Oryzias latipes: one gene and its partners. The protein of the gene in region 1 purifies or fractionates together with the protein of each later gene. This does not show direct contact. Links are inferred from orthologs where the notes say so. Each region holds a gene or a part of one and is shown in the gene's direction. Other genes may lie near its edges.

Region 1 (10,184 bases):
TTTTTGGATATGTATTTTTTCTTATATTTTTGTCGTTTATTGATATACTTTACAGTGATTAGTTTGTATTACATCAGTTTGAAATCACTATTTTTATAATGAATAGTAAAACTGATGTTTTGCAGACTTGACGTCAACAATGAATTGCATATACTTGTAATTTAATTATTGTGAGTTTGTAAAATTAGTCAAAACTGTGGATTTATGTTTGCTAAATATATAAACTAATTCATGGATTGAAGCCAGTTTACAGGAAATATTTCTATGATCTATGAACCAATGACACAACAGAAAGAGGAGATCCAATGTTTAGTGGTTTTGTTGTGAGTCTGCTCTCTGTACTGTAAAAGACGAGTTTATAACAGCAGGAGTCACCATGGTAAAGGCCCGTACACACCGGGACGAATATTCGCCAGCGTTTTTCGCCACGTTTTTTGTGTTCACACCCAGGCGATTTTCGCTGACGATGAGCCGAGCGAACATGCAATTTCATTCCCTGACATTAGATGGGGCTTAATGTAAAACAGAAATACTCCTGTACACAAGGTGGCGCTGCGCAACTTTAGGCTTCTTAAAGTCGCTTTTCCCTCAGAAAAAGAAAGCAAGTATTTACGCGCTTGTCAGAATAATTCAAAGAAAACATGAATATTTCAAGCACCAGTAGCTCCAACTGGTGCTTGGTTCGGGGATATTATAGAATGTCCGTCATTATTTCTTCGCGGCTGTGTAGACGCTACTTGGCGTCTATCTTCTTCGCTGGTATGTGTGCTCAGAAAGGCAGTTTTGTGTTTGAGCGCCCCCAAGTTGTGTTTTACTGTAACTTCAGAAGCTCCAGACACGTGTGCAAAAGCGCCATTCTCATTGGTCGAGTAGATTTAGAGGCGACGCGTCAAACCAAAAAAACGAACCCGAGGCGTTTTTTAAAAAGTGACGCTTTGACGCGTGGCGTTTTTTCGCGTCGGTGTGCACACTCACATTGGTGCCCTTTGTCTAGTCACGAGGCGTTAAACGTCGGCGAAAATGGCGGGCGAAATTCGTCCCGGTGTGAACGGGCCTTTAGTGCGGGCGCTGCAGCAACAGATTCTGAACCGCGTACTTCACTGAAATCCTGCAGATTTCTGCACGCCACCGCCATGCCGCCATCTTTGTCTGAAAACCGCAACCTCACAGTGTTGTAAATGTATTTTCTGCCAGTCCTTTCACCATCGTCACCGTTTCCCCCCCAACAGCACAGCTGAGCAGGACTCTGCTCCCCCCCAGGACAGCTCCGGCCCGGCTGCGGCCCCTGCTGCTGCCCCTGGCCCGGCTCAGCAGCAGAGGGTCTCCGTTCATAAGCCTTTCACCCAGTCCCGACTACCTCCAGACCTGCCCATGCACCCCGCCCCCCGCCACATCACAGAGGAGGAGCTGCGGGTGCTGGAGGGGTGTCTGCACCGCTGGAGGAGCGAGGTGGAAAACGACACCAGAGGTGGGTCCCACAGGACAAGATGGAGCCTGAAGTCTGGTCTTGTTGTTCTTGACACTGTGCCCCCCCCCCCCCCCCCCCCCCCCCAGATCTGCAGGGCAGCATCAGCAGAATCCACAGAACCATTGAGCTGATGTACTCGGACAAATCCATGATGCAGGTGAGCGGCTGACATCCAAACACTCAAACCGCTGCAGGACTTCTTTAATGTTCCGCTGCTTTGTCAGGTTCCATACCGACTTCATGCGGTTCTGGTCCACGAGGGCCAGGCCAATGCGGGCCACTACTGGGCTTACATCTACGACCCCCACCAGCACTGCTGGATGAAGTACAATGACATTTCAGTCACCAAGTCGTCGTGGGAGGAGTTGGTCAGGGACTCGTTTGGGGGCTACCGCAACGCCAGCGCCTATTGTCTGATGTACATCAATGACAAGAAACCCTTCCTCACTGAAGGTACAGATCCAGTGGGGGGCGGGGGCGCTCTGTGTGTCAGAGCCTCAGACTTCAGCTGTTAAAGAAGGTTGAGTTTAGTTTGAGGTGTCGTTAAAGGAGGCTTTTCCTTTTCTGGCCTTCAGTTCCTGTTCTCAAGTCCTCTGTTAACACAGGAGTTCTGTTCAGTACAGCACAACCAGAATCTGATCCCCTCTTGGTTTCCAGGGACATTTATCTTTTTTTTGGTGAGGGGGGGGGTTTCATTTATGAGCCCGAAACCTTTTTTTTTGCATCTTATTGGTTGAATGCTATAAATCCTTCAACCCATTGTTTGTTTTTCTTTCTTTTAGTATATTTTGCCATTTTTTGCCGTTTAAGTCCTTCTACAAATTTTCAGCTATTTTAACCATTCAACTATTCAAATGTTCAGCTCTTTCAGCTTTTTGCAGCTATGAGTTTTGGTCCTTCAAATCCTTGAACTTTTCAAGATATTCCAGGATTATGTGGATTATATGTCCTTTTCAATATTCCTGGTTGGTGGTGTTATGGCATGAGACATGCACTTTGGTGCACGACTTCACCAATTTGATATCTGGAGCTTGCATTTTTCCACAAACATATCTTTTTTATTATTGTGCTGTTTTCCCTCTATTAATGGTAAACTTTGAGCATCTCCATCTTTCTTGTTTTTTTTTTCTGCCACATATTACCCTTTAAGTTTAATTTTCATTCACCAATATAGCATTCAACCCTGCATTTTCTTCTGGAAATGCACCTCCTTCTAGTTTTTAAAATATCACCCTGTACCCTGTATAACCAAAATGCAATGACAAACCTCAGTTTTCATGTAAGGGTTAATGACAGACTAGTTGTGTTTTATCAGAAGAAGCCTGAACCGTCTTTTTGAGGGATAATGCACACTTCAAAGGCCATTAACCTGCTCATACCATGCTCACTGACAAAAAAAACAATATTTAATCATTTTTTAGGACTTTATTCTTGTCATTTTTCTCAGTTTGGATCGCTCAATCTATTTGTTTCATGGTGCGTTACGTTGTCACGGTAACGTGGCACCGCTCCGCTTTGCCGGCTGGGCCAGCACGGATCTTGGATCACCTCTTAACGCTTCTTTTTTTCCAGATGATGAAGCTAAAGGTTGTTTTAAAGAAGCCAGAGCAGCGATACAGAACAGTTGAGCTATGTGACCGGAACTTCTTTTTTAGGTGTCCATTATGTAAGGGTTAATGGCCGACGAAGTGTGCATTATCACTTTTTAACGCACGCCGTGAAAGCCTTCGCGTCGGACGGTTGCTTCAGCAAAGTGCGTTAAAAAGTGATAATGCACACTTCGAAGGTCATTAACCCGCTTATACCACGTTTACTTACAAAAGCAATACATAGGTACCAGTTTTAAGTCTCTGCCCAACCGTTAAGCTGACTTACTGTGGCGGCCCCTAACGGTGGAGGCTGAAAGGCGGAGGAAAATCGTTTTCTTGACTTCATTCTTAATGCTCTCACTATGATCTATGAACCAAAATCGCTTCTTTTCTTAAAATCCTACATTGTGTTTTGCCGGATTCTCTTTATTTATTTATTTTTTTACAAACTGTCTTTCACAGTTGAAGCATCAGTGACTGATGGATGCTTTTTGGTTCCATTTTTCCATATTGGATATAGTCGGACGGCTGAACAGGGCGGTCCCTCACTTCTCCCTCCTTTGTCCTTCTCTTGCAGAGGAGTTTGATAAAGAAACCGGTCAGATCCTGAGCGGCATGGACAAACTGCTTCCAGACCTGAAGCAGTACGTGAAGGAGGACAACGAGCTGTTTGACAAGGAGATTGAGGAGTGGGATGCCCTGCAGGCTCACAAGGCCCAGCAGGAGAAGCTGGCGCTTGCCGCCGCAGCAGCAGCTGCTGCAGCTGCTGCATCATCCAGCACCTCCACCTCTTCTCCATCCCCACAGCCCATGAGCATCGAGTCCAGCCCCCCCGACAATGCAGGTTAGTGACAGAAGACTCAGCAGAAAAACCAAACTGAGCATGAATCAGCATTTCAGCTCTGCTCTCTGTATTTTTAGAAGTCTTATAGCTGGAGGGTTGATGCCCCATCACATTCTGAGAAGGAGACTGTTAATGTATGATCTGTTTCCACTGTCTGTCTTGAAAAAGTGATGGTTAAAGCATAAAAAATGCTCTGTGATGCTTTGGGATGCTGGATAACATCAGTTTTAGGACACACTTGTCTGATGGAGGCTTTGCTCCCCTGCAGCCCCCCAGCAGGACCCAGAGTACATGGAGCAACCGTCTCCAACCAATGACTCCAAGCACCTGCAGGAGGACACTGAGAGGGCCATCTCCAGGGCTGCTGCTGAGCAGGGGGAGAGGGGGCCAGAAGCCCTGTTAAATGCTGTATGTACCATGCAGACACAGCACCGCCACCCATCAGCTGGAAATGACTCACTTTACCCCCATGATCACTGTCCTACTGTTTATGAGCAGCTTTCAGCTTTATATGAACATGAACACCACACAGTAGTCCTGACTAAACAGGTCAAAATAGAAAAAGCAAAGAAAGTTTTCCTGCAGCAACTTTCCTGATCCACAGTCTGTTCCAAGCAGAGCAGGCGTTTCTGCACAGACTGTGTGCAGAAAGACCTACTGAGCTGCAGGAGCTCCAACGTCTAGTGTGTAAAAAGAGTAATCGTTCTGCAGCCAAAGTTATTATGATTTATACCATGGTCTGGGTGAATACTCTGTTCTGATTGGCTGCTGGGTGTACGTTAAAAAGTGATATACCACAGTGATAACCGCACGGTGAAAGAAAAAGTTCCGGCCACCTAGCTTAAATGTTTTGTATTACTGCGCCGGCTTCTTTAAAACAACCTTTAGCTTCATCATTTGGACAAAAACAAGCGGTAAGAGGTGAACTTTCTCTCTGAACTGATGCTTTATTCAACCCATCGGAGAGATCAGCACATATATATCGCTTTATATCGCCGAATCTTGACTGCAGCGGTGGTGCGGCGCGATGTGGATGCCGCACCACGTAACAAATAGTCAGCTTTTTGTGAGAAAAATGATCCAAATCGGGGGAAAAAAAAGAATTAAGGACTAAAAACTGGTTTATATTTATTGCTTTTGTAAGTGACCATGGTATAAGCGGGTTAATGGCCTTCAAAGTGTGCATTATCACTTTTTAACGCACTTCGAGGAAGCAACCGGAGGGCGCTTCAAGCTTCCACGGCGTGCGTGAAAAAGTGATAATGCACACTTGGTCGGCCATTAACCCTTAATCCTCGGAGATGCTGCCAGCAACACTTAAAAAAAAACAATGCTCTGACATATAACCTATCGTTCACATCAACATCGTGAGTCATATGTAGAATGTAAACACTGGAGCTAAAGCTCTGATGTTAAAGTGATGAAAAAATATCAGCAAACTGAAACATCAGAAAGTAGATCTGTGACCTCTGGACACACAGACGGTTTCCAGTCTTTCTTTTACTTTGAAGCATAAATTTCAGCTGATGAAAATCCAAAGCGTTGTCAAAAAAGCTGGAATCCTGTGAGAAGGTAGACCTGGGGGCCTTGGGGGGGGTGGTCGGTCTGACGCGACCCTGAAAGCAACAGAAGCAGGACATGGAGATGCCCTTCAGCCCCTCCCTGTTGGCTCTAGTTCTAATCCTTCCAGTCACGCTGCTGTTTCCTCTGTCGCCCTTTTTCCACAGTCGCCCCCCCATCCCTCTTTTCTTCAGCCAGAGACCCAGATGAGCGCCCCCCCCAGCCCTCCCTGTGAGCAGCAGCTTGCAGAGGAGGAGTCCCTAGGCCAGCGCACAGTAGAGGTGGCCATTCCCAACGTGGGGACGTTTGTCATTGAGTCAGAGGAGGGGGGGTACGATGACCAGGTGTGAACCACAGGGGAGTGGATCTGCTGCTGTGTGCTGACCTCAGCCTGAGGATGTCATTCACAGACACTAACACCCCCACTCCCCCACCCCTGCGTTTTCTGAAGTTGCTCTGCATCTGGGGGCGCTCGGCTTTTTGACAGACCTGTTGTGTTGGGGCTCTGAAGCTTCATTGGGGTCATTGCTGTGTACAGACCCCCCCTGCCGCTCTAACAGTGCATGGACGGCTGGTGTCTGCATGCTCTAACAGCACAGATCGCCGTGACGACCTGTTGTTGTGTTTAACGCGGCTCCTTCTTCCTGGTTAGACGATGATGACCCCCAACATGCAGGGCATCATTATGGCCATTGGCAAATCCAGCAGCATTTATGAAAAGAGCGGTCCTGAGGCAGCCTTCTTCAAGGTACTCCCTCTCTCCTTTCTGCCCCCCCATTCCACTGTCATTCTGCTGTGTTTGCTCATGTCTGACGCTGTTCCTCGGTGACGTAGACGCTGAGTGAAGCTCTGCCATCGCTCAGAAAAACACCCAACTCCTTTTGCTATCTAGCTTGATCCACCCGTCTGCAGTTACACTTCGGGTGGGACTGAACTTTCACATTCCACCAGAAATGACCGAAAGTCACACAAAAGTGTCGACTCGGATGAGCTGCAGAAGTCCAGACTGTGAGCCTGATCTACACTGGTCCCACTGCAGTGTGTCTCCATAAAGTGAAACGTTCATGAATCAATCAGAAGGTTTACATTACAAACATACTCCGTCATGTTTGCGTCTGACGCTCATCCTTCTGCAATGAAAGCTTCCCATAGCAGCCATTTCCAGTCCATTAACGCGTCAATTTTGTGGTTAAAAAGCCAGAAAAACATTTGTTGTACTTCAAAAATATATACCATTTTATTTTAGAGTTAAGGTGGCGTCCCAACGGTGACACCATAAATGACACCAGCATCCTTTTTGCCATGGACGCTGAAAGTTTAATATAGGTCGTTCATGACAAAAAACAGACTTTTTACAAGGACTCAGTGAGGAGAGGGTATGGGGGCTAAACCCACCCCTCCTCTGGAAACCGGGGGGGGGGCTGGAGACGCAATGAAGTAAAGTAACTGACGGTGGTGAGACGGACTCCCAACGTAATGCAAGAGCGAGACGCCGCAGACAGATCAGCGTGAATCCAGCGTTAGTCCTTCCAGAGGTTTGAGACTCCGCCCCACCTCAGAGCCTTAACCCCTTCCTCTTCTCTGTCTCTGTCAGGCCATAAAGTTGGAATACGCGCGACTTGTGAGGTTTGCCCAAGAAGGCCCGACTCCTGAGAACGACTACCGACTACAGCACATTATCGTCTACTTCATCCAGAACCAGGCCCCAAAGAAAATCCTGGAGAGGACTCTGCTCACTCAGTTTGCTGACAGAAACTTGGCCTTTGATGAGAGGTGAGTCAGAAGTTTCACCCACGCCAAGAACTAGAACATCTCATAAAATCCCTCTGCTTCTCCCTTCATCAAAAAAGGTATCAGATCAAGATAGTTTATTCTGACCAATAGAATGACTGACTGAATAACTGCTGTTTACTTCTCTGTGGAAGTCTACAGCATTTCAGCTTTTTGGGGACCCTCTGGTACTTCCTTTTCTGAACACCAGGGGGAGGGGTCACTCAGTCCAGTTCTATTTTACAGTCAATGGTACATTTATGAAGAACACCGACTTCACTGAAGCGCCTGTTTAAACATGTTTGCATCACAAACTGCTGTTTTGAAAACAAGTCTTGGACTCCAGCAAAGTTCTTCTTATTTAATGAGTTGATCTTTAAAACCTATGAGCTTCAGACGGCAGAAATGTCTGTTTCACACATTAGTGTCAAACAGTGGTTGTCCTCACAAATGACCAGCAGAGGGAAGCAGAGTGTCCACAGCAGCAGCTTCTGACAGTCTATAACAGGGGTCGGGAACCTTTTTGGCCAAGAGAGCCATAAACGCCACATATTTTTAAATGTAATTTCGAAAGAGCCATACAATAATGTAGTGTCCTTTTCCCACACTGAGACTTAACCTCTTTTAAGGTTCTTTATTCTGGTTAATGCAGGCTGTAACAAATGCCGTAAATTAATTCAGCAGCTCCTGAATCTCTCCCGCCGAGACGAGAGCGCTTCTCCCAACTTTATATTCCCCTGCTCCCGCTCCAGCCCTCCCATTTCCCTTATTCGGCCCATAGCTGAACCCCATTGGTCCAAATTAACTAACAACAGGCTGAGCGACAGAACTGAGAGCCAATCAGATCTCTGCTTGATGCGTTCAAGGAACTCCAGAACTTTTAACGCGGCCCAACAGCCAAGTTAAACTCAGTCCGCGACAATATGTTTAAAGCTAAATATACAAATGAATGTGTGCATTTGATATAATTTCAACACTTTTAAAGGACAATAAGTCTGTGGATTATTTTTAATAACGTTGTTATTCTGTTGCTAATAAATGATCAGTATTTCTCGTGGTAGTTTTGCTGATGGTCTAGTCTGGTTGATCCGTGGTGAGTTTCTGCTTCATGCAGGCGTTGAGACTTTAAACGTGATCGTAGGTCTGAATGTTCTGTAAATGTGAGACAGACTGCTCACATGCAGACGGGGAGTCAAACACACACTCACACACTGCAGTGAGTGACGGGCAGCAGGTTTTACGTTTTTACAATCCCTGCGCGATTCACCTTACTGACCGAGCCCACAACTCCACCCCCACCCTCTGCTTTCTCCCTCTCACATCCCGTCCCCGCTACTGCGCGCTCTTTCTCAGAGACGGGGGCGCGCAGTTTTAGGCACGGCAATTCACAGGTTTCCGGGTGGTACAAACTCTGTGAAATAATAGATAATAGTAACTGATAGCGCTGGCGCAGATTTCTCTCTCCAAGCACCGCTACTACTGTGCGCCTCTGGCATCGCATCGCGCCCGAGAAGGACTGGTCTAATGAAAAATAAAAAAATAAAAATGTGTCTGCGAGCCACATGTGACCATCAAAAGAGCCATATATGGCTCGCGAGCCATAGGTTCCCGACCCCTGGTCTATAAAGACGCAAACAAAGAAAAGATAAACGAGGCGTGTGTTTTAAATGTTGTTCCCTATCTTCCCGTCTGTTGAAACCTCTCAGATGGTTGGCTTGACTTCCTACTTTGAGTCAGATACATAGATTTGTGTGTGGATAAGAGCCTCCAGGAGGATGCTTCAAATCTCCTTCATGGCATCTCAGAAAAGTCCATTTGGTCATGTTGAGGCCTTGAGTCGAGAGTCTCACCTATGAAGCCCCTAATGCTAACTGCTGCGTCCTTCCTGTCAGGTGTAAGAGCATCATGAATGTGGCGCGTGCTAAACTGGACCTAATCAAACCCGAAGAGGTCAACATGGATGAGTATGAGGTGAGAAATGCAGCAGTGGCTGATCTGAGCTTTCCTTTGCAGCATTGGTCTCAGGAATTGTGGCTTTTCTCTTGACAGACGTGGCATCAGGACTACAGGAACTTCCGTGAGACCACCACCTTCATGGTGACCGGTTTGGAGCTCTTTCAGCAGTCAAAGTAAGGAAACCTCTTCCAGCTCATCTGGAAGTCTGTTTAGCACTTAGGAGACAGACATATTTGAAAAAAACTACATTTGTTTAATGCTTATCTTAAGAAATTGTACACAAACCAAGAATTAAATAAGAAAAAAGTTTAACTTGATAACTGATGCCACCAATTCTACAACAACTCCTCAAATAAACTGCAAAGCATGTTTCAAGTACAAATGCTGAAGCTTAAAGGATAGTTAATAATAACTATTAATATTATAAGTTCATAAAGTGGGCCTAAGTGGTCAGCATTCCCTGCAGGAAATTCAGTTTCTGGTTTCATTCGGCGTCTTATCCCAGCTTTCCAGCAGGGGGCAGTGTCCTCCAGTCTGTGTGTCCCAACGGTCGGTTCATCGAGTTCTTGTTCTGTGAAACGGTTCCCTCCCTGGAGTTCTGGGACTTTCTGTCATAGTTTTATCTGTTTTTAATGTCTGTTTATGCTCTGCTTGCAGTTATGTGGAGGCCCTGATGTATCTGGTTTACTCATACCAGTACAACAAGGAGCTCCTGTTGAAAGGCCTGTACCGGGGCCACGACCAGGAGCTGCTGGGACTTTACCGCAGACAGTGTTTGCTGGTGAGGACTGCTGTCAGGATATTGGTTCTTTCTGGGGGTGGGGGGCATGCACGGGTCTGATCAGTCTCCCAGCTGCACTCGGTGACCTCACAGCTCGTCACGTAATGGCGGGGAAGGGGAGGGGGGGGGGTCCAGTGAGCGTGAACAGGAGACGGCGGCGTGTCCCAAGCTAACCTCTGGCTCCGTCCTCACAGCTGCTCACCTTCAGCCCGTTTT
Region 2 (10,284 bases), on another chromosome or scaffold:
CCCTTTTTGATAAACATCTACATTGTAAAGTCATGGTGATAAACTTCCTGCAGCTTGTTGCCTCTTTTTGTTTGTAAAACAAACAAAATGTGTTTCTTGGTCATCTTCCAACTATTTTTTACCCCCTTTATCTGTCCTGCCCCCACCCCCCCGTGTCTTCAGTCCAAAAACGAAACGCTCACAGCTGTCATGAATAAAGTTTGTCCTCAGATCCAGAAGGGGTTTATACTAACAGACTCCTCCTGTGTCTACATGACCCCCAATGGTAACAGTAATGTCTGGTCACCACTAGAGGCCCCCGCTCAGCTGATAGATGACCACATACAGGAAAAAAAACAGCTGCTCTTACCTGGAACCTGCAGGAGGACAAGCAGAAGCCCCCCCGCCCCTACTTTGGGTTGGGGGGCTTTCATACCTGCTAACAAATCCCAGCAGGAAACCGTGCACGTACATGCACTGTGAGCACTTCAGCAGCTTTAGTTCTAACCAGCAGCGCTGTGAAGGCCGGTGACGGACCATGTTGACCTGCTGACCTCCAGACAGATTCCATGAGGAACATGAACTTTCTGAGAACTGACGGACGTTTGGTCATCAGAGTGTTCCTCAGAGATTCCCTGATGAAGATCCTACAGAGGAGTTTAAAAACCGACGTTTTTTTTCAGTTTAACCTAAACAACAGACGTTGTTTCATCCTGTTTCTGACTTTATGACTTTTTTTTAGACAAATGTTATCAATAAATGAATCCTGACTCCCCCACTGCATCCTGTTTCTGACGTTATTGGTTTCATCAGGACAAATTTCCATCTATCGATGAGTTTGCTGATCAGACAAACGTCAGATCAATCATATGTTCTCCAGTCAGCACCACGCGCTCTTTTCCTCGCGCACTCACCTGACTGTCGGCAGCCTCTCCCCCTCCGGCCCCCCCGGGCTCCGGTAACTTCCTCCGGCTCAGCTCCAGCAGGTAAAACAGCGCTCCCAGCCACACCAGCACTGCCGCGAGCGCCGCGAGCCTCCGCCACGCGCGCATCGTTCCCGCTCCGCCCGCGAAGAGCCGGTGGCTTCGGCCCGCGCGCCGTCACAGCTCCATAGTGAGCTCGCGGAGCTCAGAGAGCTGAATCGGCGCGAGCTCTCTGTCAACTCTGAGCGCGAGCGTCTCAAAGACACGCCTGACAGCACGTCCGCGTGCGTGCCAGGCGTTTGGGCGCGTGTGGTGACCATTCCCGGTAGTTTCCCATCAGGACCCGCGCGGGGAGGCTCGGTTCTAGTCTGACAAACAGGAAGTCCCGCTCGGTTCGGTTTGGAAGTGAGTCGCGAGGGTCTGACAGGACCCACAGTCTCAAGAGGACACCTGCGCGTGCTCGTGCGTGTTGGTACGCGCGGCAGTGGAGCCCGAGGAAAGGTGGAGGAGCGCCACCTGCCGAGTCCGGTGAGTACTGACCCGGAGAGGCTTCTCCAGAACCGAACTCTGTTCACGCATGAAAGCTGTGGTTCTCCGGAAGGTTCTGGAAGACCGACAAGCCCAGAGACCCTGACAGTAACGTTTGTGGGTCATGTTTCTATTGGCGGCCGGTTCTGTTTCTGTTCGGTTTGGTTCTGAATGTTTGACCAGAGAAAGTTACAGAAATAAAATAAAAACGTTTTAAAAAACGAGAATGAAACAACAAAAACGATCATAGTGAAAAAAATGTGAATAAAAAGTCCGTTTCACTGAACTTCCCACCGAACAGAACCTGCAGAACTGAAGCGAACCCAGAAAAACTTTTGTCTGTTTGGCTGGAGCGCCATCTAGCGTTCGTGCAGAGAACTTGCGGATTCTGGGTCAGAGTTCGGTTGACGTCCCAAAATAAACCCGAATGATGACGAACACAAACGACATCAGTCCGAATAGAAAACGTCCGTCTGTCTGGATGTGTCACATGAATAAAAAATGTTCTCAATTGTTTCTATCGCTTTGCTTTATTTTATTTATTTTTCTATCGCTTTTTGGGTTGAGATATTCAGATTGTTTCCTCAGACATGAAGAATTTAACCTTAAATGTGACCTTGCTGTTCCTCCAAAAGAGTATGCTATTGTTTTTGATGCAGTTACTTACTACTGAAATCTGTGAACTCTTTAAAGATACTGTACTTGATGAAAATATCTCCTTCTTATCTCTAAGTGACACTCCTTCTTCTTTCTCTTTGGGCTTTTCCCATCAGGGGTCGCCACAGCGAATCATCCTTTTCCACCTCACTCTATCATGAACATCTTCTACCCTAACATTAGCCAACTTCATGTCCTCTGTTAGGACATCCATATATCTCCTCTTTGGCCGTCCTCTTGCCCTCCTGCCAGGCAGCTCCATCTCCAACATCCTTCTACCAATATATCCACTATCCCTCCTCTGAACATTTCCAAACCATCTCAGTCTGGCTTCTCTGACTTTGTCGCTAACACAGGCAACATGAGCCGTCCCTTCTCTAAATCTACCAACACACAATGCAGCTCCTTCTGACCTTCTCTGTACTTTTCCAACAACATTCTCAAAGCAAAAATGGCATCAGTGGTGCTCTTACGGGGCATGAAACCATACTGCTGCTCACAGATCTCCACCTTCTTCCTAAGCCTGGCTTCCACTACTCTTTCCCACAGCTTCATTGTGTGGCTCATCAACTTTATTCCTCTATAGTTGCTGCAGTTCTGCGTGTCACCCTTGTTCTTAAAGATCGGAACCAGAATGCTTCTCCTCCATTCCTCAGGCATCTTCTCACTCTCTAGAATCCTATTGAACAACCTTGTTAGAAATTCCACTGCTGTCTCTCCTAAGCACTTCCATACCTCCACAGGTAGGTCATCAGGACCAACGGCCTTTCCGCTCTTCATCCTTTTCAGAGCCTTCCTAACCTCATCCTTTCCAATCTCTGCTACTTCCTGCTCCACAACAACCACATCTTCCTCCCTTCTTTCCCTGTCATTTTCCTCGTTCATCAGCTCCTCAAAATACTCCTTCCATCTTTTCTGTACACTCTCCTGGGTTGTTAGCACCTTTCCATCTCTGTCCTTAATCACCCTTATCTGTTGCACGTCCTTCCCATCTCTGTCTCTCTGTCTGGCTAGCCTGTACAAGTCCTTCTCTCCTTCCTTTGTGTCTAACCTGTCATATAGTTCATCGTAAGCTTTCTGTTTGGCCTTTGCCACCTCTCTCTTCACTCTACGCTGCGCTTCCTTGTACTCCTGTCTACCTTCCTCAGTCCTTTCTACATCCCACTTCCTTTTAGCCAACCTCTTCCTCTGGACGCATTCCTGTACTTCCTCATTCCACCACCAAGTCTCTTTACCGTCTTTCCTCTTTCCAGATGACACACCTAGCACCTTCCTACCTGTTTCCCTGATAATCTCTGCTGTAGTTTCCCAGTCCTCTGGAAGCTCATCCTGACCACCCAGGACCTGCTTCAACTTCTGCCTAAATTCCTCACAAGTTTCTTCATTCTGTAGCTTCCACCACTTGGTCTTCTTTTCTGTTTACCCTCTCTTCTTCTTCCTGACCTCCAGAGTCATCTTACACACCACCATGCGGTGCTGTCTGGCTACACTCTCTCCTACCACCACTTTGCAGTCATTAACCTCTCTCAAATGACCTCGTCTACATAGGATGTAGTCCACCTGAGTACTCCTACCTCCACTTCTGTATGTCACTCTATGTTCCTCTCTCTTCTGGAAGTAAGTGTTGACTACAGCCATTTCCATCCTCTTCGCAAAGTCCACCACCATCTGTCCCTCCAGATTCCTTTCCTTCACACCAAACCTGCCCATCACCTCCTCATCACCTCTGTTGCCCTCACCAACATGCCCATTAAAGTCTGCTCCAATAACAACTCTCTCTCCTCTGGGGATACTCTCTATGACCTCATCCAACTCACTCCAGAATCTCTCCTTCACTTCTAACTCACAGCCAACCTGTGGCGCATACCCACTGACTACATTCACCATCACCCCTTCAATTTCTAACTTTAGGCTCATCATCCTGTCTGAGACTCTTTTCACCTCTAGAACACTGTTTACAAACTCCCCCTTCAGAATCACACCTACCCCGTTTCTCTTCCTATCAACACCATGATAGAACAGTTTGTATCCTCCTCCAATACTACGTGCCTTGCTGCCCTTCCACCTTGTCTCCTGCACACACAGTACATCTACCTTCCTTCTCTCCATCATGTCTGCCAGCTCTCTGCCTTTCCCTGTCATTGTGCCAACGTTAAGAGTCCCTATTCTCAAACCTATGTTCCTGCCTTTTCCCTTCTCTCTCTGGCCACGGACCCTTCTGCCTCCCCTCTTTCTTCCACCAACAGTAGTCAAATTTCCACCGACACCCTGTAGGTTAACAGCATCGGTGGCGGTCGTTGTTAACCCGGGGCTCGACCGATCCGGCATGTCTAAAGTTTTGTGGATGATTCGCATGGTTATTTTGGCAATTTTTACGCCGGATGCCCTTCCTGACGCAACCCTATCTATTTATCCGGGCTTGGGACCGGCACAGAAGTAACTGGCTTGCAACCCCTGTGGCTAGATTATCTCCAAGTGACACTAATGTTGGAAAATCGTGTTTCAACTAAAGAATAACAAGATCATACCTGTTTCAGCAAAATGTCATTTCGGTTCCTCTGCTGTCTTCTACTAGAGAAATCTATTTCTGACTTGCCCTGGAAAACTTTTGGAGCCTGCATCAGAAATGACTAATTAATAACAAGATGAAAGATGTCTCCTACAAACATCTACATAGAATCTATCCCACTAATCAATACATGCTAAGATATTGGAACGACCTAACCGGGACGTCACTTTAGCGGGGAAGCAAGGTCAAGCTGCTAAAGAAGAGGCTTCATTGGAGAGCTGTCTGTGCCTCATACACCGCAGACGCCGGACAGTCTCAAAGACTAATAAACAGGAAAAGAACCAAAGATTCCTTTTCTAGATCAGGTCAGTTCATTCAACCACACTTAAACAGCCCAAACAACATGGAGGTCACTTCTGCTTCCAGCCCTCTCACTCAAGGTTTCCCCCCCAAAACTCCCCACTTCCCATGAGTCTTAGGGGCTAAAGGCGGGGCTAACCCCCAGGTCGCTACAATATAATAAGATAATCGACTCCAACTGTACCTTTTGTAAAAGAACAACCAGAAAACAATCAGGCACCTATTTTGCACGTTTTATAAATCACAAATTAGACTCACAATTTCAGATGAAATTTGAATATATCATATTTGGCCTACATGAAAAGAACATAAAATCAAACATAAAAGTAGCAATTAATCTAATTATATTTATTAGGTAAGTTTTCATTTACTATATTACTATACATTTATACTTTACTCGTACTCTCTGAGGTAGATCTGATACATTTATTTATACCATACATACTATACCATTACTATACATTTTCAATGCATAGTAATGTGTTTTTGTAAAATTTCTTTTGTAATACATGTAGCATCCCCTGGCATTGTTATGACTATTGATCTTGTCATGCATATTTGTTCTATTTGTTTTGAACAATAAAGTTCAAAAAAATATTCAGATTGTTTCAGAAAATCAAGGACGTTTTCAGTAACAACAGCGCCCTCTGCTGGCCGTTCGTGATACGTTGCGATGAAGAAATCTTTGTTTATCCTCTTTTCCGGTAGGGGGCGATAAAGAACCGTGAATTACGTCAAAGAACCGGAAGTTGATGTCCGTCGGCCAGCATCCGTTTCCGCTGCTCCGATGTAGGAGGGATCGGCTCTTTTGAGCTGTTTTTCTTTTTATTTCTTTAAAATCTGATCTGTGTGGCGCTTTTGGAAGAAGTTTCGTTCGTAAGGGAGGTGCGCGGTGGCTGCTGGGTAAGTTTGGAGGGCGAATGACGGCGGTGAGCGTGAGGTGAAGCATCACTCCGTGGCTTCCTGACGGTGGCTGTGGGTTAGCCTAGCGGGAGCTAACGTCTGGTGTCCGGCAGACCATGAGCAACAGCCACCCCCTGCGGCCGCTGGCCTCCGTGTCGGAGATCGACCACATCCACCTGCTGTCGGAGCAGCTGGGCGCGCTGGTGCTCGGGGAGGAGTACAGTGACGTCACCTTCATCGTGGAGGGGAAGCGCTTCCCGGCGCACCGGGTCATCCTGGCGGCGCGCTGCCACTACTTCAGGTAAACAAGCGGCGGTTCTAGTCTGACGGAGAACCCGCAGAGCGCACGGGGACGTTTACTCACGTCATCGTTCTAGAGTTCACCCATAACGTTCCTGCGGGTTTCAGGACTTTAGGTTCTTCAGGATCCATACGGTTCTCCATCATATTTATTCATGGGGTTCTGTGTTCTGGGGAGAAGACAGGTGGAGCGTTCCTAACAACACTTATGGTCCACCACTGTGTATTATGTGGTTCTAGATACAGGTTATTGCCTGGTATTCTGGAGGACAGCTTTAAATCAAGGAAATAAGAATCAGTATTTTGACAGAATCAAACGTTTATTCAATGAAGTGATCAGAAAGATCAGTTTGACACGTGTCTTCCTGTCATGGTCTTTGCCCCCGGGGGGGTAAAGAGGCTGTTTTAAGGTCATTTGACTCTGACTGTTCCTTTCTGTTCTGTTTGCATCATGGATCTGATGGATTTGTTAGCTCAGATTGACCTGTTGGGTCTCATGGATCCGTTAGATCCGATAGACTGGTTAGACCTGATGGATCGGTTGGATCCGTTGGGTCTGATGGATCTAATGGCTCTGAGCTCCGGGGCGTTCAAGTGTCCTTCACATTAATGTTGGCGTGGCCCCTTCAGGGCCCTGCTGTTCGGTGGGATGAAGGAGTCCCAGCCCCAGGCCGAGGTGCGTTTGGAGGAGACCCGAGCTGAAGCCTTCTCCATGCTGCTGAACTACCTGTACACGGGCCGGGCCAGCCTCAGCTCTGCCCGGGAAGAGGTTCTGCTGGACTTCCTGGGTCTGGCTCACCGGTACGGCCTCCAACCTCTGGAAGACTCCACCTCCGACTTCCTGCGGACCATCCTGCACATCAACAACGTCTGCCTGGTGTTCGACGTGGCCTGCCTGTACTGTCTGAGCGCGCTCAGTGCAGCCTGCTGCGCTTACATGGACAGACACGCCCCTGAGGTGCTGAACTCAGACGGGTTCCTGACGCTCTCCAAGGTAAACTCCTGTTCATACATATTAATCTAACGAATGCAGCTGAAGTGTGAGGAAAAGTATCAGTATCACCTGGACCGGTTCTGCAGCTCATCAGAGACCGGATCAAACATTCAAACAGAAGAACTTCTAGATACAAATGTTTTCATCTGTCTTGTATATTCCTGTAAAAATTCTTCCTAAAGCTGGCTTCATATTCCTTCCTTCAATCCTAGAGACGTTTCTTCTCCTTTGGTCTCAAATGTGTAAATATTTGTTGAACCCACAGAGACATGGAATATTTGTTTCTATTGTGGTTCTTCAAAGAACGAGTTCTCTAGAGGCCTTTCATGTCCTAGCCCCGCCCCTTCCTGCTGTCAGCCTATGGTACTCTGGAGCAGGTGGTTGTGTGTCCTCACTTCCTCTTAATGGGGGGGCTGTGTGCAGGTCGCTCTGCTCACCGTGGTCCAGCGGGACTCCTTCGCTGCCACGGAGAAGGACATCTTCCAGGCGTTGTGCCGCTGGTGCCGCCACCACCAGGATGGAGACCACACCCAGGAAGTGATGTCAGTGGTGCGCCTGCCGCTCATGACGCTGACGGAGATGCTGAACGTGGTGCGACCTTCTGGCCTCGTGAGTCCGGATGACCTGCTGGACGCCATCAAGACCCGCTCCGAGAGCCGCAATATGGACCTGAACTACAGAGGGATGCTGAGTGAGTCCCCGCCTCCGTCGCCGCCTTTGGTCCTGCCCCTCAAACTCACAGCAGGAATCTTGGAATCATTTCAGTTCCGGAAGAGAACCTCGCCACCATGAAGCACGGAGCCCAGGTGGTCAAAGGCGAGCTGAAGTCGGCGCTGCTGGACGGAGACACTCAGAACTACGACCTGGACCACGGCTTTTCCAGACATCCCATCGAAGAGGACGGCCGGGCCGGCATCGAGGTCAAGCTGGGTCAGCCGTCCATCATCAACCACATCCGCCTCCTGCTTTGGGACCGGGACAGCCGGTAAGGAGCTGCCGTCAGTGGAGACGTTCTCCGCTGTTCTGCTTTTAACGCCTGCTGCGTCCGCAGCTCGTACTCCTACTACGTGGAGGTGTCCATGGACGAGCTGGACTGGGTGCGGGTGGTGGACCACTCCAAGCACCTGTGCCGCTCGTGGCAGAACCTTTACTTCACGCCACGAGTCTGCAGGTGAAGCCGACTCTGAAGGAACGAGCGGCCCGGTTCTGCAGGAAGAAACTAAAAGCTTTTCTCCGTCAGGTACGTCCGCATCGTCGGGACCCACAACACGGTCAACAAGGTCTTCCACCTGGTGGCCTTTGAGTGCATGTTCACCAGCCGCTCCTTCACGCTGGAGAACGGCCTTCTGGGTAAGTTTCACTGGTTCCGATTCCGAGAACCGCTTTGGTTATGGTCCGGTTTGATTTACTGTGTAGAACGGAGGAGCAGAATCCTGAATGTTTACATGAAAACGGTATTTTTCTGGAGTTGAAGGGGGATTGAGTCATGTCACGGATCAAATGTTCGCTGATGGAGTCCATCCCTTCATCTGCTGCTTTCACCTGCAGTTCCTGCGGAGAACGTCGCCACCACCGCCTGCTGTGCCAGCGTCGTGGAGGGCGTGAGCCGCAGCAGAAATGCCTTGCTCAACGGTGACACTCGCAACTATGACTGGGACTCGGGGTACACCTGCCACCAGCTGGGCTCCGGAGCCATCGTCATCCAGCTGGCGCAGCCGTACGCCGTGGGCTCTCTGAGGTAGATGTGATCCTGACGCCCGCCGGTCTGCTGAAACGCTCTGACGGACAGAACCCTCCCCCGCTCTGCTTCAGGCTGCTGCTGTGGGACTGCGACGAGCGCTCCTACAGCTACTACATCGAGGTGTCCACCGACCAGCAGCACTGGGTCCGGGTGGTGGACCGGACCAAGGTGGCGTGTCGGTACGGAGTCGCCTTCATCTTCGTCGCTTTGATTCCAGACTCGGGATGGATTTTCACCTCTTAATAAATAATTGATTTGTGTAAAAACATCAAAGAAAGGTCGTTAAAGTGAAGCAGATCAAAGACGTGAGGAAAGCATCAAAGGTTTCTGCGTGTCTGATGAAGATCATGTGGTTCCTCCTCTGTCTCAGATCCTGGCAGACGCTGACCTTTGATAAGCAGCCCGCCTCCTTCATCCGCATCGTCGGGACTCACAACACCGCCAACGAGGTAACGTCTCACCTGCACCTGCCCCACAGGGGCGAGCAAGGGCAGAAGAGGGAGAGGGGGTAGATCAGGAAAAGAATGGAGGCAACAAGCGGTGGAACAGGCGGAGTGTGTGTGGGTGTGTGTGGGGGGGTCGCCCTTTGGTGTTTGACATGCCCGATGGGTGCACGTACGTGTGCACGTGTGTTGATGCCCTGTGTGCGTTTCCTGAAGGTGTTCCACTGCGTTCACTTTGAGTGTCCGGCCCAGCTGGACACCGAGGTCACTGAAGGTTCTCCGGGTTTGGACCCGTCGGATTCTGGGGGGGCCGCCCCGCAGCAGCAGCGGTCCCAGCGGGCCTCGCGCTCCCACAGTCTGCTGTCCGGCCAGCCCTCCTCCTCCTTCTCCTCTGCACCTCTCCATTGAAAGAAGCCCCTCCCCTTCCGCAGACAGGTGTTGCAGCACCTGCCGTGCTTTTTGCACAGACTCCACCGCTCAGATTGCACTGTTACGATGCTGCCGGACGCTCCGCCACAGCAGCGTGGAGCGCAGCTCTCGTCTTCCCTGGTCAGTGTGGACGGTTCATGGAGGTGAAGCGTGCAGCCGCAGGAAAGACCAGCGGGGGGAGGGGTCACATGGCATCAGACATGTTTTTCTAAACAATGACCTGAAAAGAATATTTCATATCGTCCAGTCAGCAAAGCCGTTTTCTCAGTACTTTGTAGGAAATACCCGAGTGCAAAACGCATCCAGGAAATCCCAGACTTTCACAATAAAACACTGCTTTGCTAAGAAAACACAAACCTTTGCCGATAGTTGTGTGAGTGATGAGAGCAGAAGGTTGTGGTCCGGGACCGTTCTGAAGGACGGCCCGCCCCCTCTGGACAGAGAGAAAGCTGCAGCTTCACACTGTGGAACCAGCAGGAAGTGACACTTCTGACCGCGTTCAAAGTTTTCCTGTTTGT
Region 3 (10,284 bases), on another chromosome or scaffold:
TTAAATATAACAATTCTAACCTCTAAATTTACTATTTAGTAATTCAGAATAGTTTTGCAATACTTCCTGAGGAACATCATAGTGATGACTGCAATAATGGCAATAGAAGGAGAAACTAATTTGCATATTTTACCCTTTTGCTTATGCTAAATAAAAAGTGGGGTGATCAATGAGTTATATCGCCAAAGGAGACATCAAGTGATTCCTCATAGGAGGAGAGCACCGCCATCTTGGTGAGGTCAAGTCACTGCTGCACTGCATTCATGTGAACACATTTTTTGCAAAATGCCAGTTCATTGTGTGGGTTTCAACCACCATAATCGGAGAAATTAGTCTATGAAGGAAGAAGGCATAACATTTGACAGGTAAGAACTATAATTATTTTCTTTTAAAACTGCAGGGGCTTCATTAATAGTACACATGTTGACATGCATGATCATGCAGGGCTGTTATCAACATGCTGAATGATGTGCGTATAATTTGCAGTCGATATAAATGTAAACTTTATTGTGTTAAACCTAACCTATATACAGTATACTAGGACTAGGCTATTATAGTAATATAGATTTATACATTTCTGACTCAGTGACTGAACTTTTCTTGCAGGTTTCCTATGGATTCAGACTTCAGGAAAAAGTGGATCTTAGCTATCAAAAGAGCTAACCCAGATGGATCATTGTGGTACCAACTAGCAATACAGTCGGGCTATGTTCCAAATATTTGTGGAAACAGATTCTGATAAGACTGCTCAGACTGTTCGCTTGAAACCCGGCACCATACCATCTGTGTTACACCAAATTTATCACTCACAGGAACCAGTAGTGTAAATCTAATGTTTTTCTTTGTTTTTTTAGGGTAAATCTATTGTTAACTTTTGGACTTTTTGTTGACTTATAATTTATTTATTTTTATAATTATTATTGACTTATTATTATCATTATTTAATATTGACTTGTTTTTTATTTATTGTTATTATTATTGACTTACTATTGATTTATTATTATCTATTATTATTAATATTTTTATTAATGACTTATTGCTGGGCTTTTCTAAATAATTTAAATTACATGTCAAAGAGGTCTAAAACTTCTAAATGTTTAGAAATTATTTGTAAAAATTCTTTGTAATAATTTTTTTATGTGTAAGAAGTCCTGTAACTATGCATTTTTCATTAAAGTTTGAGCTTTTAAGGCTGACTGTTTCTCTCATTTAACAACAACAAATGATGTATATATATAATATATATGTATAAATATAAATATATATATTATATAAAAGCTACTTAGATGCCACTAAAGGCTATAGAAAGGATTGTCATGTGGGCGCCAACGACCTCACCAAGATGGCGTCGCGCTCCGCCACCGATGGCAAGGCTTCCCAAGAGGGCGTGTCTCCTCTAGCGATATAACTCATTGGGAGTGATATATAATATGACTTCTAAGTTGTTAGTACAAAGTTATGCTAGCCATGGTAAAAAATAAAATAAAATTAAATTTAAAAAAAAGCAGTGGAATTACGTTATAAGGTGACGTGAACAGTCGCAGAAGAGCATGAGCATGGCCAAGAGCTGCTTGGACTCTTCAGTGTCATTATTCAAACAGTCCATGAAGAGTTTAAGGCCCCCCTGAGGTCCGAGCTCACAGATAAAGGCCCACAGTTTGGGTAGAAGGTCATCGAGATGCGTCAGACCTGCAGAGAACAGAAAGGTAGGAGATAATGTGAAATACAGGATGTTGTTCGTGCTTGTCATAAATTGCAAAAGGCTCAGGTTTTGCTACTGACCGGTGAGGATCTGAAGGCGTATTTGTGTTAGTGTGGAAAGAGCGGTCTGGTAGAGCACACAGATGCTGCACACCTTCTGAACTTCAGCTGAGTCAACTCGCTTCCCCCCAACGGGTTTCAGAATATTCCGGACAGATGCAGACTTCTGAAATGCTCTTTTGAAGAGGCCTGTTAACACAGTCACGTGCCTTATTCACCAATGTTTAGTGAAATACATCATAATTGTGTTTGAGTATTGAGTGTCTTTTGTACTTTTGACTGGTAGGTTGTTCTGTGAAGTGCTTGGCTGTGGGGGTGGGGGAGTGGGCTCCTGACTCTCCAGCTTTTTAGACAGGACATCACTGAAAAGTGTCCGAATTACTGACACACCCCAAAGATGCTGCAGCTGTTTAGTGACCAGTGGCATCGACTCATTCAGTCTAAAGACAAAAGAAGACACTTTTAAGATGATGCATTTTGCATAAACGTTGGCATTATCAGGTACAGGTATTATCATTCGGTCCACAAACACCAGGTTTTATAAAAAACATATGTAATTCTTTTTCAACATGGGGTCACTTGCCTCTTCACAGCTTCTTATTATATGACTGGACATTAAATATCGATGATAACAATGAAGAAAAATAAGGAACTTGTTTTTTTTTTGTTTTTTCTATAACAGTAAGCTTGATAAATGGTTTTTATTCTCACTAACCCATAATCAACTGTTTGAGAAAACCAGCCCAAGACAGGATGCCAGTGGGTTAAATTGGACTTCTTTTGCGATACATATCTCTGGCAGTAGGACAGCATGTCGGTCAGGTCCTTCACAAAATGGTTAGCCTCCTCCTCTAAGACCTTCTCGTTAAGGTAACCCAGGTAGATCAGATTGCCTGTAGAATATGAGAAACAAAAGCAACTGTTGACAGGCTGCAGGACAGGGCTAAAACTGTTAATCCACTTTTATTATATTTATATACCAAGTAGGCAGAGAGTGTGGCTGCCCTCAAGACACACACAGATGTCCAAACACTGTTCTTCCCGACTGAGAAATAAAATAAACTTCCGAAGCATGTCATGCGTCTGCATGGATGTCATGCACTGTTGAGCCAAAGGACAAAATAAAATCACATTGTTCACATAATTGCTCAAAGTTCCAATGTACATCAAGAAGAAACAGCACAAGGTTACCTCTGGGGTTAACACATTGAGGTGCGATACAATGGCAGGAACTGACATGATGTGAATGAGGAATGATCGCAGCAGGTTGTCTGAGAAGTGGGCAGCAATGACTGGCCTGCAAAATATTGGATTTAGTTCACAATTAAGCCACAAACCATTTATCCAAAACAAAAAAATAACACAGAAAAGTGGGTCAAACAAAACGTAAGCGAAAAGGACAATTGACCTCAGTGACAAGCTGAAAATAGCTGTCAGGGTGCCTTTGGAAAGAGACGGTTTCGAACGAGCCAGGCCATTAGTCAGCAAGATCTACATTTAAAAGATTGACACAAAAGATGTTTGTTTTTTAAATAAAATTACAAACATTTGATGCTGTAAAGCAAGACTATTCAGCAAAATTGTAATCGCTCAGTAAAACTATGATGTTGAACCTGTAGTACGGAATAGAAACCCTTTTGATTGAGATGGCCCATGATGTTTTCACAAATCCTCGTCAAAGCCGGTTTGAGGGCTTCCCCTGCAGTAATTAGAGGGAAATTAAATATCTGTGGGAAGTAAGAGTGTGTGACCTGCAATAACCACAGACATATTTAGATTCATAACTCACCCTTCCCTCTGACTATCCGCCATGTTGTTGTGTCAGTAAAGGTCACCAGCATTGTGAGGTAAAGTGTAATCAACTTGTTGTCTTGAAGTATGTCTGGCTAAGAATCGCCAAAAAAAAAGGTTTGAGTACCATTAAAATAGAAAATATTAATATTAAAACTTCTTTTATAGATTTTAGGCTAGACTAACCTTGAGTTTTTTCAGAAGCTGACAGCAAACCCACAACACATCTTTGATTTGTTTGAGCCAAGGAATGGTGAGATCCTTGGATAGAGCCAGAGAAACATACCAGACCTAAGGGCCAAATATGAGAAATCAGTCCCTCCAGAAAAATTTCAAGGAAAATATATATATTTTTAAAATGTTCAAGAATTAATGAAAGCAGACTCACTTTAGGTTCATTTTCCACCTCCATGCTGGCTAAGATAGCACGACAGAGCTTTTCAAATCTCTGAAACAAATGGATGAAAACTGTTTGATTCATAAAACTGGACAAAATAAAATCAATAAAATACACTCAAAAATGATTGAAATGCTTACGGAAAGGCAGCAACTAATCATTATATGATCACAATATTAAGGATTTGGATCATACTACTAAAAGTATTGGCAAACATATTTTATAGTCTATTAAAAACCATGGAAAATTTGAAAAAATTTGAAACATTTTTCTGCCTTAATGAAACTTATAATAGCAATAAAACTGTTTTATTGACAGTAAAATCCTTTTTTTAAATCCTCAATTGAACAGTACCAAGCGAAGCTAAGAAATCCAACAGGTAGTCAAAGATGACACTACTGACATGAAGATAAATTCTGATTTAGTTTGCTATTTGTTCCTAATATATTGATACAATTCTTTGATTTATTGCAAATGTTTTTGTGAGACAATATTTAGGCAAGTTACCATCTTGTCTTCCTGGCAAAAGATAAAAAGTAATTTCCGAGCAATTTTAAAAATTGAAAGTGCATTTCTTTTTGTTGCTCCCGTTTCAGAAGTTTGGAAATAATCATCGACTTCTTTCCTGTGAACACATAAGATTACAAAGTAAAACTATGATGTGTATAGAACAGTATAGAACATGGATAGAACAGTGAAAACTGAAAGCTGCACCTTAATTCCTTCTGCAGCCTGCAGCGACACAAGAATCTTCTTATTAGAGCTTGAATTTGGGTTGCTGCTTTTTCTTTCTCCTTTTGCCCTTTCCTTTCTTCTCTGGCCTGCCTGGCTTTGTCCAGGAACTCAGACTTGGAGCTTTGAGGCACACCAAACATTGTTCAGTCTAGGAAAAAAGAAAGGGCAGACTAGCTGATATACCTAAAAGGCAACCGTGTGTCACCAAGACAGTGGTAATAGCACATTGATGAAGGTGTAAAGGCAGTCTTTAAGAGATAAATTACACAAAAAAAGAAGTTTGCTTGTTCAAGTGGCATGAATAAAAGCTTAACATAGCAATTACCTGTGTGATTGTGAAGGTGAGGTGATCCTGCTTGGCTTTTAGCCTCATCTGTCGCTATATCCTCTCAATCACTTGACTTCCCTTGATATCCATGTTGAAAATAAAGTCTAACAAAACACGAATACTAACTTGCCATCTTCTAAAGCAGGGATCGGCACAGGAAAAACAGAGTAATAACAATTAGCTACAGGCTAGTTCGCAAGTTATCGTCTTGATTGTAACACCGCAATAGTTTTTTCGCTAAAACCTTTAAGTATAATATTTACTTAGGAATAATACCTGACACTGTACCGATGACAGTCTCTTTAACGTATGGAATGCACTGTTCTGAAATGTAAACAAAGAGAAAAGATCCCTGCATAGACTGCAGCCATAAATCCCTCGTTCAACATTTTTTTGATTCCGGGTAGTTTTTTATGTTGTTTTTTTTTATTCCGAAATAGAATCTACTGTGTGAAGTTAGATAATAGCAAATGTGTTTTGGGATACACATACTTATTTATTTGTTATTATTGTTTTGATTTTATTAGTAGTATCTTTTTAAAAATAATTTTATGCTGTCGGATCTGAACCAGGGGACTCTTTTCATTGTTACTCCATCAAGCTTCATCCAGAAAAGGCGTTTGTAGCCTTGATATGTTTTTTTACTTTCATTTATAATTTACACGTACATTATTGTTAATGATTAAAGTGTAAAATTAATTATTTTTCATTAGGCTGGTAAAACACGTATAACAGTTTTACCCCTCATTAAAGTTTCTGTTTCTTTAAACTGTGCTGCTTACGTCATTTTTTTCTAACTGCGCAGCGGAGCACCGGAAGGAAGTGGGTGTTAGCTGACAAAGGTTAGCAGCTTACATTTCGGACGCTTGCTGTGGGTTCTATGGTAAACTTCTTTTTGTTTTTCATAAATACCAAATATTAACACCGTTATATATTTATGTATGAAATACTTGTTTTTACTCTGTGCTAGTTTCCACTTTAAACTAAACTTTTGGTTGTCTTTGATGCTAACAAGCTCGCTAATGACCGTGTAGGCTGCTCTTTGATAACTAAGTGTAAAAGATTTAAAAGCAAGAAAAAGCGAAAAATAAAATATAAGAAAATGATCTACAGTTGTCTCAGGCATGCCACAGTGAATACTTTTCACTTTTGGAATGCAATCGGTAATGTAACTATTGCTATTTAAAAATTGTTCTTTTATCATTAAGTGTCAGTAATGTTACAGAGAACATCAGACACTATTCATAAGGTGTGTCGATTCATATTTGTTCTGTATCAATATCTCTGTCTGTAGATAAATTAAATGAGTAATTTAAAACCTATCTGGCGGACAAACTCGTAATTGTTTATAACATAATTTAAATAGTTAGTCATTAGAGTTTTCTTTAAGAATATCAGAAGATGATGATGGTGATAAATTGTATGATCACAACTTAATAATAAATAATAGACTAATTTTGTCAAGAGTAGCCAAAAAGGTATTATACATATGTTGAATCTGCATTTTTGTCAGCCTTTTTTATTCACTTTCTTATTCGTTCTATATATATATATTTGGAAATATAAAATATATATTTCCACATTTTTTTCTTCATCCTATATGCATAGTTTGGTTTTTAAATACTATGACACAAAGGCATTTTCAATTTCTCAATACTATAAAGGTTATATTCTAGTCTGATACCTATTAAGCTGCAAAAACATTGATATTCCTCTAAATTGAAAAGCTTTTCAGGGAAGGCAGAGGAGGTTATCAGTTACTTGATTGTCTTCTAGCTTTTGTCCTCCAAACTGTAATCACTGTTTTGACTTGTTCTCTTCCAGGAAGAGATGTCAGGAGAGAGTGTGGTGAGCTCGGCAGTGCCGGCAGCTACAACACGAACAGCGTCCTTCAAAGGATCCAGCCCCAGCTCAAAGTATGTGAAGTTAAATGTCGGCGGAGCGCTGTACTACACTACAATGCAGACACTAACAAAGCAGGACACAATGCTTAAAGCCATGTTCAGTGGCAGAATGGAAGTGCTCACAGATAGTGAAGGTGAGCTTTAAATAAAACTTGATTTGTTGTTGCCACCGCTGCTTTTTTTGCTGTGTTACACTCTAAACGTTTTTCTATGATAGGTTGGATCCTAATTGATCGCTGTGGGAAACACTTTGGAACAATCCTTAACTATTTACGAGACGGGGCTGTCCCACTGCCAGACAGCCGTCGAGAAACAGAGGAACTGCTTGCTGAGGCCAAGTACTACCTTGTTCAAGGACTTTCTGATGAATGCACAGCTGCCTTGCAGGTACCATTCCAACACTTGTCTTTTAACAAGTATCAGGACCGGAAATTTGCAGTTTCAGTTCCCACTGTGGCTCCCCATGTATTGGATGTCCCCTTGGGCAGGACACTGAACCCCACATTGCTTCTTGTGGTCTGCTTAACGTCTTGCATGGCAGCTCTATCACCATCAGTGTGTAAATGGGACTTGAGACTGTGATGTACATTCAAGAATGCACAAAATTGGAATTCTTGCGCTTTTTGCAATGGTGTTCACAGTGGACTGTCATTACCCCAAACCACCCCATGTACTTACAGCTAGAAGAGGCTTGGTGCAAAATGGTCCAAATCTCACGAATTTTGCTTCCAGCATTTTCTTTCACAGCTCTATGCTGATATATGAAAGATTTGGTGTCATAATTGCAGCTGGGCAGAAAATACAGTTATTAATATCTCCGTCATGATCAACTTTCAAATGGGTAGTACTTCCGTGAGTTGAAAGGAACGCTACCCAGACGTCACGACCAAATCCTATTCCCAGTTTGGTCAAGGTTCAACTGGTTTAACTTTCAATGTGCCTCACTGGTCTTGTATGTAGAATCCGAAGATGAATGTAAAAACTTGCACAGGGACCCGTGTATGCAGGGTCCTGAAGGGCGTATATACGCGTTTACACAGACTGTTCATTGAAAGTGGTCACTTGAACACGCATCTGTGACCCCGGCGTAAACGTAGCATGAAATGCATTGGGCCTTAATACAGACAGAGAAGCTCTGTATAAGTAGACGCCATTTGAAAATAGGTTGCAAATAACCTGTTTGTATTTTTTCACTTCTTTCCACAAATTTTTTAAGCACGATGGTTAATCTGAATTACAACATAGATTTATTTTAGTTAATTTACAGCTTCTTGGCTTATGACAGGGTTTTTTTAAATTTAGTTTTTCTCCTTTTTTTAATGAAAATGTCTTTCTTCCAGAACAAAGAAACATATGAACCTCTATGTAAAGTGCCTTTGATGACATCGTCTAAAGAAGAGCAGAGACTTATTGCAACTTCAAATAAGGTGAGTTCTATTTTCTTGTATCATTTGCAGACTGCAATTGTCTTTAGTTGTTATTTAGATGTTCTATTTAGTGAACAAACTTTGTTTTTATTCATTTTTTTTACAGCCAACTGTAAAGCTGCTATATAATAGAAGCAACAACAAATATTCATACACCAGGTGAGTCCCCGTCTTCTTCTAACACATTTTCTTCCATTTCATTAATAAAGTGTGTCGCCTTCTGACATCATGCTTGATGCTCTTCTCCAGCAATTCGGATGACAACATGCTAAAGAATATTGAGCTGTTTGACAAGCTGTCTCTGCGGTTCAATGGCCGAGTACTTTTCATCAAAGATGTGATTGGAGATGAGATCTGTTGCTGGTCGTTTTACGGCCAGGGTCGGAAGATCGCTGAAGTGTGTTGCACTTCCATTGTGTACGCCACAGAAAAGAAACAGACAAAGGTAAAAACACTGGCCCCTCACTTTTTTATGCTCTTTATGCAAGAAATTCCGTTGAGTTTAATAACATTGCATCTCTTGTTATACAAAGGTTGAGTTTCCTGAAGCACGAATCTATGAGGAGACTCTCAATATCCTTTTGTATGAGTCTCACGACGGACGAGGTCCAGACAATGCTCTGCTGGAGGCCACAGGGGGCGCCGCCGGCCGATCTAACCATCTGGACGAGGAAGAAGAGCGGGAACGAATAGAACGAGTTCGTAGAATTCATATCAAACGTCCAGATGACCGCACTCACCACCATCAGTGACTTTCCTCTTCTGACTCGCCAAGCCGCATTTCTGAGCTCGGATGGTCTGTGTGCCGTGCTTGTGCCTTATAACACAGAGGGCTTCACTTTCTGACTTCCTTTCTTTTATCAGCCTTTTCGAGAAGGAAATGAGAGTGAATTTGATCTGTTTAGTGATGGAGTGATTTTGTGTTTTGTTTCTTTGTCTTTTCTTCTTAAGCTGTAGCATTTCGTATGTTAGCCACAGCAGGAGCTCAGAGGTGTGCATGTCTGCAAACAATTTCACCAGCCTGTGTGAGTGAGCGAGAATTGACAGTATAAGTCTTTTTTTTTTATTTAATGGTATTATTAGTTTTTGATTTATTTTGTATATTTTTTAAAGGGGGGGTATATTTATATGACAATATCTAAATGAAGTAGATGAAGAAGAAATGAAAATGGTTCAGTTTTTTTTTTCTAGTTGGTTCTTTTGGGTTTTGCTAGAAAGTCTGTAGAAGCTGCTGTTGTTCATTTGGAGGCCACACGGGGGCACTGTTTCACAAGTTACAAGCAAGGCCCACCTTGTAGCCTGCCAGATAGTAAGCTTTCCTAAAATTAAAAATTATATATTACTAAGATATCAATTGATGCATCGTTTCACTGTATAGCTTCGGTTATTTGTATTTTCAGTCCACAAAACAAGTCATATTTTTACAAAGCAAACCTGAACACTGACTCTTGTGTGTTGAGTGCTCTGGGTTGAATGATGTAATGAGTGAGTGTCACTGGAGATCTTCCTGGCAGGAAAGGAGCCCTGTTTACAAGCTTTTAACAGGGAGGGAAATTAGACCCGGCTTTCATCATTGCATTCATCAAAAAATGTATTGTTTGCAAACTAAAGGTTGAAGTTAAAATGTCTCATTGCAGTTCTCACAAGTAGGTTGTACAAAAATGAACTCAAGTGTGTGTTTTATATTTATACCTTATATTGAATAAATTTGTACAAAGAATTTTGTTTTAAATTGTAATGTTTATTCTATAAATGAACATTTCAGATGATTACAGTTGGATTTGGGGAAAGAAACATTTTTAAAACTTGTTGTTGGTTTTGTCTCGTGTTTTTGGCAAGTATCAGTGTTTCATACTCATTTAAACCAGCTGAGGGTTTAGTACCACCTGGAAGCCAATCTCAAAGCGCGTTACTTTCTGGATTAATCATCAATTTACGGGC

What was found.
Region 2: the proteins of usp25 (region 1) and btbd9 purify together in Homo sapiens (affinity purification with mass spectrometry; 3 studies listed by BioGRID and IntAct, counting the BioPlex papers as one, with this or other methods). This does not show direct contact. The link is inferred for Oryzias latipes from reciprocal best matches to the Homo sapiens genes USP25 and BTBD9.
Region 3: the proteins of usp25 (region 1) and kctd10 purify together in Homo sapiens (affinity purification with mass spectrometry; 4 studies listed by BioGRID and IntAct, counting the BioPlex papers as one, with this or other methods). This does not show direct contact. The link is inferred for Oryzias latipes from reciprocal best matches to the Homo sapiens genes USP25 and KCTD10.

Annotation. Positions count from the first base shown.
Region 1 is NC_019872.2:2,551,424-2,561,607, reverse strand, and holds part of usp25 (ubiquitin carboxyl-terminal hydrolase 25), read left to right. Parts: intron 1-1,229; coding exon 1,230-1,468; intron 1,469-1,554; coding exon 1,555-1,625; intron 1,626-1,692; coding exon 1,693-1,921; intron 1,922-3,634; coding exon 3,635-3,901; intron 3,902-4,169; coding exon 4,170-4,309; intron 4,310-5,628; coding exon 5,629-5,805; intron 5,806-6,113; coding exon 6,114-6,209; intron 6,210-7,055; coding exon 7,056-7,234; intron 7,235-9,123; coding exon 9,124-9,202; intron 9,203-9,280; coding exon 9,281-9,360; intron 9,361-9,844; coding exon 9,845-9,968; intron 9,969-10,184. UniProt on the Homo sapiens protein: Deubiquitinating enzyme that hydrolyzes ubiquitin moieties conjugated to substrates and thus, functions in various biological processes including inflammation and immune response.
Region 2 is NC_019882.2:592,983-603,266, forward strand, and holds the start of btbd9 (BTB/POZ domain-containing protein 9), read left to right. Parts: upstream 1-5,621; 5' UTR 5,622-5,859; intron 5,860-5,972; 5' UTR 5,973-5,975; coding exon 5,976-6,160; intron 6,161-6,789; coding exon 6,790-7,153; intron 7,154-7,576; coding exon 7,577-7,844; intron 7,845-7,918; coding exon 7,919-8,138; intron 8,139-8,204; coding exon 8,205-8,324; intron 8,325-8,393; coding exon 8,394-8,503; intron 8,504-8,701; coding exon 8,702-8,891; intron 8,892-8,965; coding exon 8,966-9,073; coding exon of another isoform or gene 9,074-9,137; exon of another isoform or gene 9,138-9,172; intron 9,173-9,264; coding exon 9,265-9,343; exon of another isoform or gene 9,344-9,355; intron 9,356-9,553; coding exon 9,554-9,745; 3' UTR 9,746-10,284. Other genes in the region: polypeptide N-acetylgalactosaminyltransferase 14, read right to left, coding at 894-1,031.
Region 3 is NC_019867.2:13,219,071-13,229,354, forward strand, and holds kctd10 (BTB/POZ domain-containing adapter for CUL3-mediated RhoA degradation protein 3), read left to right. Parts: upstream 1-5,777; 5' UTR 5,778-5,892; coding exon 5,893-5,895; intron 5,896-6,836; coding exon 6,837-7,050; intron 7,051-7,133; coding exon 7,134-7,303; intron 7,304-8,256; coding exon 8,257-8,343; intron 8,344-8,449; coding exon 8,450-8,502; intron 8,503-8,592; coding exon 8,593-8,788; intron 8,789-8,876; coding exon 8,877-9,095; 3' UTR 9,096-10,063; downstream 10,064-10,284. Other genes in the region: ube3b (ubiquitin-protein ligase E3B), read right to left, coding at 1,518-1,689, 1,783-1,950, 2,035-2,201, 2,477-2,654, 2,742-2,862, 2,953-3,058, 3,170-3,252, 3,375-3,460 and 5 more. UniProt on the Homo sapiens protein: Substrate-specific adapter of a BCR (BTB-CUL3-RBX1) E3 ubiquitin-protein ligase complex. The BCR(BACURD3) E3 ubiquitin ligase complex mediates the ubiquitination of target proteins, leading to their degradation by the proteasome.